Linked DNA regions of Caenorhabditis elegans. The protein of the gene in region 1 purifies or fractionates together with the protein of each later gene. This does not show direct contact. Each region holds a gene or a part of one and is shown on either strand. Other genes may lie near its edges.

Region 1 (6,116 bases):
GACACCAATTTATAAATTGTACAAAAGTGAGTCATTAGTTGTTTCAATGCTCCATTGCTCTTCATTGAAACACCCCTAAAATCAACAATTTCTTTCTGTTTACCCCTGATGAACTAAATATGTCTCAACGATTTACTATAAATATCTCGATCCCAACTTTAAAATAATTTTTTTTTTCTTATCGGCAATTAGCCCGAAATAAAATATCCGGCAAATCGGCAAAAAATGACTAAAGGAACTTCGCCAAAGTCAGCGTCATCTTTTGATCAACCTATTTTTTTCCAATTCTTCCTTCTGCCAATGACCCTGAAACGTCACTTAATCATTTTTTTTCACCCACAATATGATAAGATCACTGCTACGGCGACCTGTTCATCCCCAAAACTGTTCTTTATTCTTTCTAAACGAATTTTGGTCGTGATCTCTGTAAGCCAGAGAAAAATGGAGAAGTAGGTCGTTTTCCTGGTTATTTTAAGCGGTTTATTTCTCAAAAAATTTCATTTAGTACACGTGGTGCCAGGCTGTCCCATAAAGGCTTGATCTACAAAAAATGCGGGAATTTTTTGCCCGGAAAAAAGTGACGTTAGCACATTCTTAACCATGCGAAATCAGTTGAGAACTCTGCGTCTCTTCTCCCACATATTTTGTAGATCTATGTAGATCAAACCGAAATGAGACACTCTGGCACCACGTGCGCGCGCAAATGAGGAAAGCGCTGACCAATCAGCGAATGACAAAATGTGCTGATTGGTCGGCGCAGCCTTGGTTTGCGCTCGAATTTAAAATAGAAAACCTAAATTTTTTCGATTTTCCAATATATTCCGAGAAAAAAAAAATTTTTTTCCTTTTCAAAATTCCTTTTTAGAATTAGAAAATTGTAAAATGTTCTGTTAATTTTTAAAACATTTTTTTCGAATTATTCCGATTTGCTGTTTTTTCGGCAAATTCGGCAAATCAGCAGTTTGTCAAAAATAAAAAAAATCAGTTCCAGCAATTTGCGGAATTGCCGATTTGCCGGAAATTTCGATTCTGGCAATTTGCCAATTTGCCGGAAATGCCGATTTGCCGGAAATTTGCCAGAAATGCCGATTTGCCAATTTGCCGGAAATGCCGATTTACCGGAAATTGTAATTCCGGCGATTTGCCGATTTGCCGGAATTTTCAATTCTGGCAATTTGCTGATTTGCCAGAAATTTGGGAAACGACAATTTACCGGAAATTTCAATTCCGGCAACTTGCCGAATTGCCGATTTGCCAAAAATTTCAATTCCGGCGATTTGCCAGAAATTTGTCAAATTCCCAATTTGCAGGAAATTCCGGAAACGACGATTTACCGGAAATTTCAATTCCGGCAATTTTCCGATTTGCTGTGAATTTGCCGAAAATGTTGATTCACCGATTGGCCGGAATTTTCGAATCCGGAAATTTGCCGCTTTTCCGGCAATTTTCCGATTTGCCGTTTTTCGGCAAATCGACAGTTTGCCAAAAATAAAAATAAAACAAATTTTAATTCCGGAAATTTGCCAATTTTTCTCCATCAATTTTTCCCGGTTTTTCGTTGTTAGTTTTTTTCGGGACTACTATAATAATCCCAAGTCAACTTTTTTCCTTCAGTTTCTTGATAAACGTCTTCATCTCTTCATCTATATTACAATTCACTCTCTCTTTCTCTCTTTCTCTCATATTCTAACACTATAATTCTCGAAACAAAAACTCGGGTCGTTTGGGGTCGAATCTGGTTTATCATTCGTCATTAATAGACGACTTATGTCTTCAATTGCTTCCTCATTTACAATATTTTCTTTCTTTTTCCTTTTTTCTCTCTCTCTTCAATCTTCTTCTATTTGTTTTCTTACTTTTCCTTCCATTATTTGCCAACAATCCCTGCCAACCAGTCCAAAACCCATCACCTCTCCTCATTTCTTAAACATATTTCCCCAATTTCAGAGAATGTTCGGCTTCTTGTTGGGTACACTTTGTGTTTCTCTAGCTATTCTTGGAGCACAATCAGCTAAATGCACAGCTAAAAGTGGAGATATTAGTGCTCGGTGGCAGGTGAGTCATTTTGTTTGAGCACAACTCAAGTGGTTTGTTTAAACTGATTCTTGGTGCCAATCGTTTTGAACAACTATTATGGGTACACAAAATTCTGAGAATGCGTACTGCGCAACATATTTCACGCGAAAAATATCAAAACTACAGTAATCCTTTAAGTGGCTACTGTAGCGCTTGTGTCGATTTACGGGCTCAATTTTTTAATTTATTGAAAAATGTAAATTATTGAAATGATGTAACTTTTCGAAAAAAAAAAATCATTTCGAAAATCGAGCCTGTAAATCGACCTACAGTAGTCATTTAAAGAATTACTGTAGTTTTGATATTTTGCGCGTCAAATATGTTGTGCAATACGCATTCTAAGAATTTTAGTGTTCCCTTAATATATTTATTGAAAAACTAGAAAAAAGAAAAAGGCATGAAACTTTAGGGAAACGTTAGAAAAACTGAAAATGTTTTTTTAAAAGAATTAATTAAAAATAAAATATACCTTAAAATGTGCTTTTTGAGAATAATATCGTTATTGTGATGTTTCAATGACATTGAAACAATTTTCATTTTATCTGAAAAAATTTTAAAAAATACTTTTTTTTGAAAAATTTCAAAACTTTTCAGTCAATTTTTTCGCCTAAAACAATGACCATCCTAACACTTTGGAGGTAATTTTTGATTTTTTCTGCAAAAAATCTGAAAGGCTACAAGAAACATTTTTTGAAATGTTGAAATTGTGAAATTTCAGAAAAAACTAAAACTTAGAAAAAAATTTCGACTGGAAATTTTAAGCCAAAAATTTTTTTTTCCTTAAAATGGCAGAAAATAACTGGTAGGTAGGCATGAAGTAGGCAGCTTTACCCTACCCCCCAAAAAATACGGTGGCCGAGTCTTTTTTTTTTCTCGGCCACACTCAAGGTCATTTTATCAGATTTTATCAGGCCAAAGTGAAAACTGCGCAAAAATATTAGGGTTTTTTTTTCTCTGAACAAATCTGGTTTCTGATATCAATACTAAATAGTTTGCAGGCCCTGTGTCTTGTGCAGTGATTCCTTGAAAAAAAAATTGCGCGTAAGATATAATGTTTTCAGGTTGTGGATGGAGAATTAACTGTCGAAGTTACCACAAAAAACGTTGGAAACAATGAATGGTCAGCAGTTGGATTTGGACCTGATATGGTATGTAATATTACTTTCCCCTACAAACTACAAAAACTACAAACTCCAATTTGCAGAGCGATCTAATCGTTGTCATTTTCCAAGTGGTAGACTTTAAGCCAAGCCTTGTGACTGGAACGACTCAGGGATACGGAGCACCTGCACTCGATGCTTCTCCATCTGTCACTCTTCAATCTCTCGATTATAACAGTGAGTTTAGTACGCCGTGGCCTAGAAAATCAAAAACTAGGCCAAGGTGTCTTTTTCTAGGCCATGCCTTGTCTTGTTCTGACCAAGATTATTACGGGGACACTTACTGTCGAGAATGCGTACTGTGCAACTTATTTGACGCGCAAAATATCTCGCAGCGAAAACTACAGTAATTGTTTATCTGACTACTGTAGCGCTTTTGTCGATTTACAGGATCTCGATTTTTTTTTGTCATTTTTATGCTTAATTTTAAAATTCTATCGATCGATCCATTCAAAAATCGAGTTCCCGTAAATCGACAAAAGCGCTACAGTAGTCGGATAAACAATTACTGTAGTTTTCGCTACGAGATATTTTGCGCGTCAAATATGTTACGCAATACGCATTTTCGAAATTTAGTGTTCCAGTAATACCTTTAATTTAAAACTGTCGGCGGCAATACATCAAATTTAACGCGCAATTTTTTTTTAATTTCATCCGCCAATTTAAATTTGCGCGTAGAATCTGATGTATTGAATCGTTATCGCCAAAATGTACAAACACCGGCTACAATGCATCAAATTTCACGCGCAAAACTTCAATATTTGAATTTGCGCGTAAATTCTGATGTATCAGGTCATAGCTGTCTCTTCACTCCAAAACACCATATTTCACGCGCAAATTTATTATCAAATTATGTTTCAGGCAACACCCTCGTGGCTCGATTTGCTCGCCCAGTTGGCTCCCTCTCCACATGCACAACATGGAATGTAAGTTGACAAAAAATATCACTTCCCCCCCCCCCCCCCCACTTCTACCGTAACCTGTCCACCTACCTCCTCATAACACCCTGTTACAGTTCGTCACCGAAGGATCCATCGAAGACGGATCAATTGGATATCACAATGCTGCTCCACACACTGTGGAAATTTGTGCCAACAAGTGTACCCGCAAGATCTTTAACTAACTTCTTTCTCTCTTTTGCTCACTCCATTTTTATAATAATTTGGGATTCTGTTTTTGCTTGGAAAAATAAAAATAAACCTATGGCTTTGCTATCCAGGAACTCTCGGGTATACCAGAAATGCAAGAGTGCTCTACTGACAAGTGTTCTGTGTAATCCACGTGGAGAAAAATAGAAAAAAAACCCACAAAAATGACGATTTTGATTTTTAAAAAATTTCGGAAACACGGGGTTCTGGCCTTCCTCATTGAATTTTTCGCCCTCCATTGACAATCCTGCCGGACAACGCGTGGGAAAGCCGTGTACTCCACACGGACAAATACATTTAGTTTTACAACTAAAACCGAGCCGCGACGCGACACGCAACGCGCCGTAAATCTACCCCAGATATGGCCGAGCCAAAATGGCCTAGTTCGGCAAACTCTTCCATTTCAATTTATGAGGGAAGCCAGAAATCCGTAACGGAAACTCTGAAAAATTCGATTTTCCCGCCAAAAAAACTTGCGTGTGAAATCCGATGTATTAACTCCGCCCCTCTCAATGCACCATACTTTACGCGCAAGTTTTCAGTTCTTCAACGCCCAGCCATTAAATGGACCATCTGTGTCGAACCTCGGCAGCCCGGAAATTCAATTGACGGTATTAAAATTTTCATTTCACACGTGGTGTCAGAGTGTCTCATTTCGGCTTGATCTACTTAGATCTACGAAAAATGCGGGAACAGAGACGCAGAGTTCTCAACTGATTTCGCATGGTTAAGAACGTGCTGACGTCACATATATTTGGGCGAAAAATTCCCGCATTTTTTGTAGATCAAACCGTGTTAGGGCAGCCTGGCACCACGTGATTTTAACATTATTTGACATGATTTTCTTACAGGACGTGTGCCCGAATGAGTGTACAGGAGTATTTACGGAACGCGACGTGGCATATGATCCAGTACCACAGGCTGCCATATATAATAATAGAATTTCGAATCGATTCAACGGAATTTTTGATCCATCGGCTGCTTTTTAAAAATAACTTTTTTTCTTCTTGATCTCGTCAATAAATGTTTTATTTTTATTAAATTCGATATTTTTTTCAGAAATTGGAGGTTAAAAAAACTTTTTTCTAAAATTTTTAAATAATTTATCGCTTTTTCTTATATAAAACTTAATTTAAATGGTCATTTTATTAATATATTCGCAAATTCAGATAAACTATTTTCAAATTTCGCGGTCTGTGCATTTTGACGTGATGGTGTTGACGTACAGGTTACTGTAGTCACTTTTCTTCGTGGGTGGTCTTGGACCACCGATATTTTAGGCCAATCATCGATTTTTTTCGCATTTTTTGAGAATAATTTGATTTTTTTTTCAAATTAAATTAGTTTTAAAATTGAAATTTCAATTTTAATATATAAAATTCTTAATTTTTCATCTGGAAAATGAGAAAATTAGTTATCTTCGTGTGTGGTCTTGGGCCACCGAAGTTTAGGCCAATCAGCGGATTTTTAAATTTTTCGTGTTATTTTTTACATTTGTGTAAATATTGATTAATTATTTATTAAAATAATTTTGAAATTAAAATTCCAACTCTAAAATATGAAATTGTTAATTTTTCGACAAGAAAATGATTTTTCTTCATGGGCGGTCTCATTTCCACCAATTTTCTTTCCTTCTTATATGAATTATAATTTGCGAAAAAGTTAAACTCTCTTTTTAAATTAAGTGTTATTAAATCAATTTCAATTGAAATTTTTATCTCTGCCGTATTGA
Region 2 (4,433 bases), on another chromosome or scaffold:
TAAAATGGCAAGAAGTACACTGCGAAACTAAATAGCGACAACCGATTCACCAGTTTTCAATTTATTCTCCCAAATCCCGAGTGTTCTGCATGCTCTTTCATTTACATTTAATGCTCTCGAGGTCCATATTAATGTTTCTACTCTGGTCGCAAAGCTAATAAGCTTTTATCCGTCAGTTATGCTCCCATGCGTATGCGTTTCGCTAGATTTTCATCTTTTGATCTCTACATCTTAACTGAGAAGTAGTCCCAGTGGTCAAAGTATATATGAATGAAACAGCATGCGTGTGGAAATTGTTATTCAATTCATCGTTGTAATTTCATCAACAAAGAAATTAACAAAAATTGTCTCTGTTACCGCTTTTTAATTTATTTATCAACCTTGGTAGGTCTCCACAATCCAGTTTTGTTCTTTTCTTTTTATCGTTTGTGTTTTATATCTTTTTGCAAAAGATATAGAGATAAATGCATGCTCGACAGTATAATTCTTATATTCAACGTTTCTGGACGACGTGGGAATTTTCCCATGCTACTGATGAAGTCTGAAGTGCATAGAAGAAATAGCACGAGTGACCTTTTGCTTTCTGGACATTATTGCATGCAAACTACTACTTTTTGCTTACTTCACACTATTTCGACACTACTATTATTGGTTTTCTCAATCATCAAATGTGTTTTCAAAGAATTTTGAAACATATCCAGATAGAAACTGTAAAAAGGTCTAATGCTCTTTAAGAACTGCCGTTTTAAAATGATCAAAGTTTACTTTTTGAAGTAAATTCTGAAAACGCCTCGCGATATCGTGTAATTTGATCGTTTGTTCATTATATTTTTTATTAAGAAAACTCCCCATCACCTCCTATTTCATCCTTCTCGGAGTTTTCTTAGAAGAAAAAGAAAATGGAAAAAGCGTGTGAATGTTTCTATTAGATGACAGGAGATCCATTTTTTACATCCTTCAATTTTTGCAACAAGATTCCACTTCAAAGAATGAAATGTTTCATTAATAAGTGCAGTTTCAAAAGATCAAAATAATACCAGCCGGTTAGTTGTTGCATTTGCTATTTTTACAAAACAAGAACACTAAGTATATATCGAAACGTGCAAGTACTTTTCATTGGTTTAATCCGGTGAGTGGGGCGTTTTCGTGTTTTGTTTAACTCATGACTCATAAAGGTTATTCAGGATAAACTATTCCTAATTACCTATAATAGATGTACATGTAAATGCTTTTCCATGTTTGGAGTTTATCGTGCTTGATCTAGAAAATAACAATTTTTTGAAATAACTCTGTCTGAGTTCCTAAAAAGTTTAATTTATACTTTCGGGAAAAATACGAAGTGGTTTACCTTTTATCATCAAAAATGTCCCAGTTTCTAATAAATGGATATCATCTCTTCTTTTCCCATTGTAAATTTTCCAGCTCACCGACATTTGCATAATGCAATTATGTCATACTGAGCGGTTATTGTTGTTTTATTATCTTATCGTGGATTCATTCTCTCCTTACTTGCTCACTTCATTTTTATAAATCTGTCTCGTTGCAGCTGCTCTATAAGATACAACAACGGGATATTCTTCTATCTCTTGCTCGTTGTGTTGCGTGTTCTGTTTGTTTCCTCATTGCTTCCTTAGAATGTTCATTCAATGGCTCATTAGATGTGTGCCAACCTTTAAGAAATGCCAGCTGATTGTGCATTCGTTCCGCTACACAACATGTACTTAGACATGTGTCGTCTATCTCTCCCTATCTTATAACATTTTCTTTATCTCCTTATCTCCTTCTGTTTAAAAGTCCAACTATCATTTGGAGTTTGGTGTCAAAACCAGCAGAAACAGATGATAGAAAAATATTTTGTTTCCGTGCCAATAGTCATTGATAGTTTAAAATATTTCTTTCCTGTGATATAGTTTTCCCTTTTCTGCGTTCTCTCGTTATTGTCTACACTCTCATTTAACTCATAGTCGATGTTTCAGATGGCTGATCGCAACTCTATTGGCGAAAATGCTGCCGCGCTTATTGGCAACACACCCATGGTGTACATCAATAAATTGACAAAAGGACTTCCAGGGACAGTTGGTTGGTTTATTCATTTGAATTAAACGAAATCTTAAAAAATGTTTTGAACAATACTGGTGAAACTTTGAATTTTTTTGTTTCTTTTATGCAATACCACTGTAACCGAGTTTTGTAACTTCTCAACAAAATATAACTTTGACAAATAGTCTCACTTAAAAGAAAGTACGAAAAATAGTAAAACCAGAACGTAGATAAAATTGAATTTTACAAATCAAAAATGTTTTGAATTTTCAAGAAGAAACAAAAGTCCAATTATCCTATTATAATTTTCAAGTTTACAGCTGTAAAAATCGAATACATGAATCCAGCGGGATCGGTCAAAGATCGTATTGGAGCGGCAATGCTTGCAGCGGCCGAAAAAGATGGAACGGTGCTTCATCAACAATACCATTGTTCAAAAAATTGCATTAAAATTTTTTAAGGTGATCCCGGGAGTGACCACGCTCATTGAGCCAACATCAGGAAACACTGGAATCGCATTGGCTTTTGTTGCTGCCGCCAAGGGGTATAGATGTATTGTCACAATGCCAGCATCTATGAGTGGAGAACGCGTGAGTATTGATCTTATGGATGCAAATCTTCACCCCAGGAATTGCCAGTACTGAAACCTTTTTTTTTAGCTATTGAGTACAGTTGTGTCATCTGTGATTTTAAACAAATCTCCGGGTTGAAAATTTTTTAACATATAAAATATATATCTTACAGAGAACTCTTCTCAAAGCATATGGATCCGAGGTGGTCTTGACAGACCCAGCGAAAGGAATGAAAGGAGCGATTGACATGGCTAACCAGCTGAAGGAAAACATTCCAGGGTCTATCATTCTTGCTCAATTTGACAACCCAAATAATCCACTTGTTCACTATCAAACAACTGGACCAGAAATTTGGAGACAAACCAAAGGGACAGTAGACGCTGTTGTTTTTGGGGTTGGAACTGGTGGAACAATTACCGGAGTTGGCAGATACTTGCAAGAGCAGAATCCAGGTGTCCGCGTGTTTGCTGTGGAGCCAGAAGAATCCGCTATACTCAGCGGCAGACCAGCCGGTCCACACAAAATTCAAGGCATTGGAGCAGGGTTTGCTCCAGCTGTTTTGGACACAAAGATCTATGAAGACGTAATTCGAATTCATTCCGATGAGGCTATTGTCATGGCTCAAAGACTTTCCTATGAAGAAGGTCTTCTTGGCGGTAGGTTGTGTGACTGTGTTTGCTTTGATAGTTTGAAAGAAGTATGTTTTTAAAATTCTATATTTTAGGAATTTCCTCCGGAGCTAATGTTGCAGCTGCACTTCAGTTGGCTGCTCGCCCAGAAATGGCTGGAAAGCTCATTGTGACTTGTTTGCCAAGCTGTGGAGAACGATACATGTAAGATGACTGACTTAAAATGTTACTTGTGATGTGAGCTAGTAGTTTGCATCTGATTCCTCGGATGTTGAGTATTTCTGATAGAAAGTTAAACAACTATTGAATCTTTAACGTAGTAATCATGTACAATTTACTGTGATTGATCTTAAAAACCATTTTTCCAGGACCTCTCCTTTGTACACCGACATCCGCGAAAGCGCTATGGCTCTGGCAGTCGAAAGCTTGGAGGCAAACTTGAAGAAGTTATGTCTTCACAACTATGATATTATGGAGTGATTTAAATCAAAAATTCATCTCACTTTTTTCTTTTTTCTTTCATTTAAATTCTTTCACCCAAAAATTATCAAGGTTGTTACTCACTAAAAATGATAAATCGGCTGGTAATTCAATCAAAAAACCTACACATTATAATAATTTGCATTCTTTCGTATTTTTTCCATGTAAATGTTCCGCTGTCTATTTTTTCAATAAATGCAATTAGTGTTTTGTACTGTGATCTAAGATAGCTTGTATGCTTTGAACCCGCAGACACTAAGATTGGTGTTGAACTGACGAAACTGGGAGGATAACCGACTTTTTTAAAAACAATTAAACCATTAGCACAGTGAGGCATGAAATAGGCTTGTCGATGTCTCATGAAAAGGTCAGTGCAGATAGAAACACTGACCCTAATAAGGAGGAATGAAACCTGGTTTGGCTAATCGCCAGAAAAATTCTTTCACCGATAGTGGTGGCCAACGAGACAAACGCTGCATGTGGTTTCAAGCGAGAAGTTCAATTTAATTAGTAGTATGGATATTTAACGCGATCTTTATCAAATCGGAAAACTATACCACGGAGGTCTGGTTTGATGGTTTCACTATGAAATTATTTGAGCGGAAAGTTCACAGTTTTCTAGCTGACTCCTTTGAACATGTTCAGTTGAATTGACATAAACTTAAATGGTTCACGTACCCATCTTTTTGGAAAAGAGTAATGGAAAAGTTCT

The links.
Region 2: the proteins of Y54E10A.17 (region 1) and cysl-1 fractionate together in Caenorhabditis elegans (co-fractionation; one large-scale study listed by BioGRID). This does not show direct contact.

The regions. Positions count from the first base shown.
Region 1 is NC_003279.8:3,204,854-3,210,969, forward strand, and holds Y54E10A.17 (DOMON domain-containing protein), read left to right. Parts: upstream 1-1,908; 5' UTR 1,909-1,950; coding exon 1,951-2,055; intron 2,056-3,137; coding exon 3,138-3,224; intron 3,225-3,280; coding exon 3,281-3,413; intron 3,414-4,097; coding exon 4,098-4,162; intron 4,163-4,251; coding exon of another isoform or gene 4,252-4,359; exon of another isoform or gene 4,360-4,926; coding exon 4,927-4,995; intron 4,996-5,235; coding exon 5,236-5,373; 3' UTR 5,374-5,419; downstream 5,420-6,116.
Region 2 is NC_003284.9:9,952,077-9,956,509, reverse strand, and holds cysl-1 (Cysteine synthase 1), read left to right. Parts: upstream 1-1,976; coding exon 1,977-2,079; intron 2,080-2,360; coding exon 2,361-2,449; intron 2,450-2,501; coding exon 2,502-2,630; intron 2,631-2,784; coding exon 2,785-3,268; intron 3,269-3,336; coding exon 3,337-3,445; intron 3,446-3,609; coding exon 3,610-3,721; 3' UTR 3,722-3,931; downstream 3,932-4,433.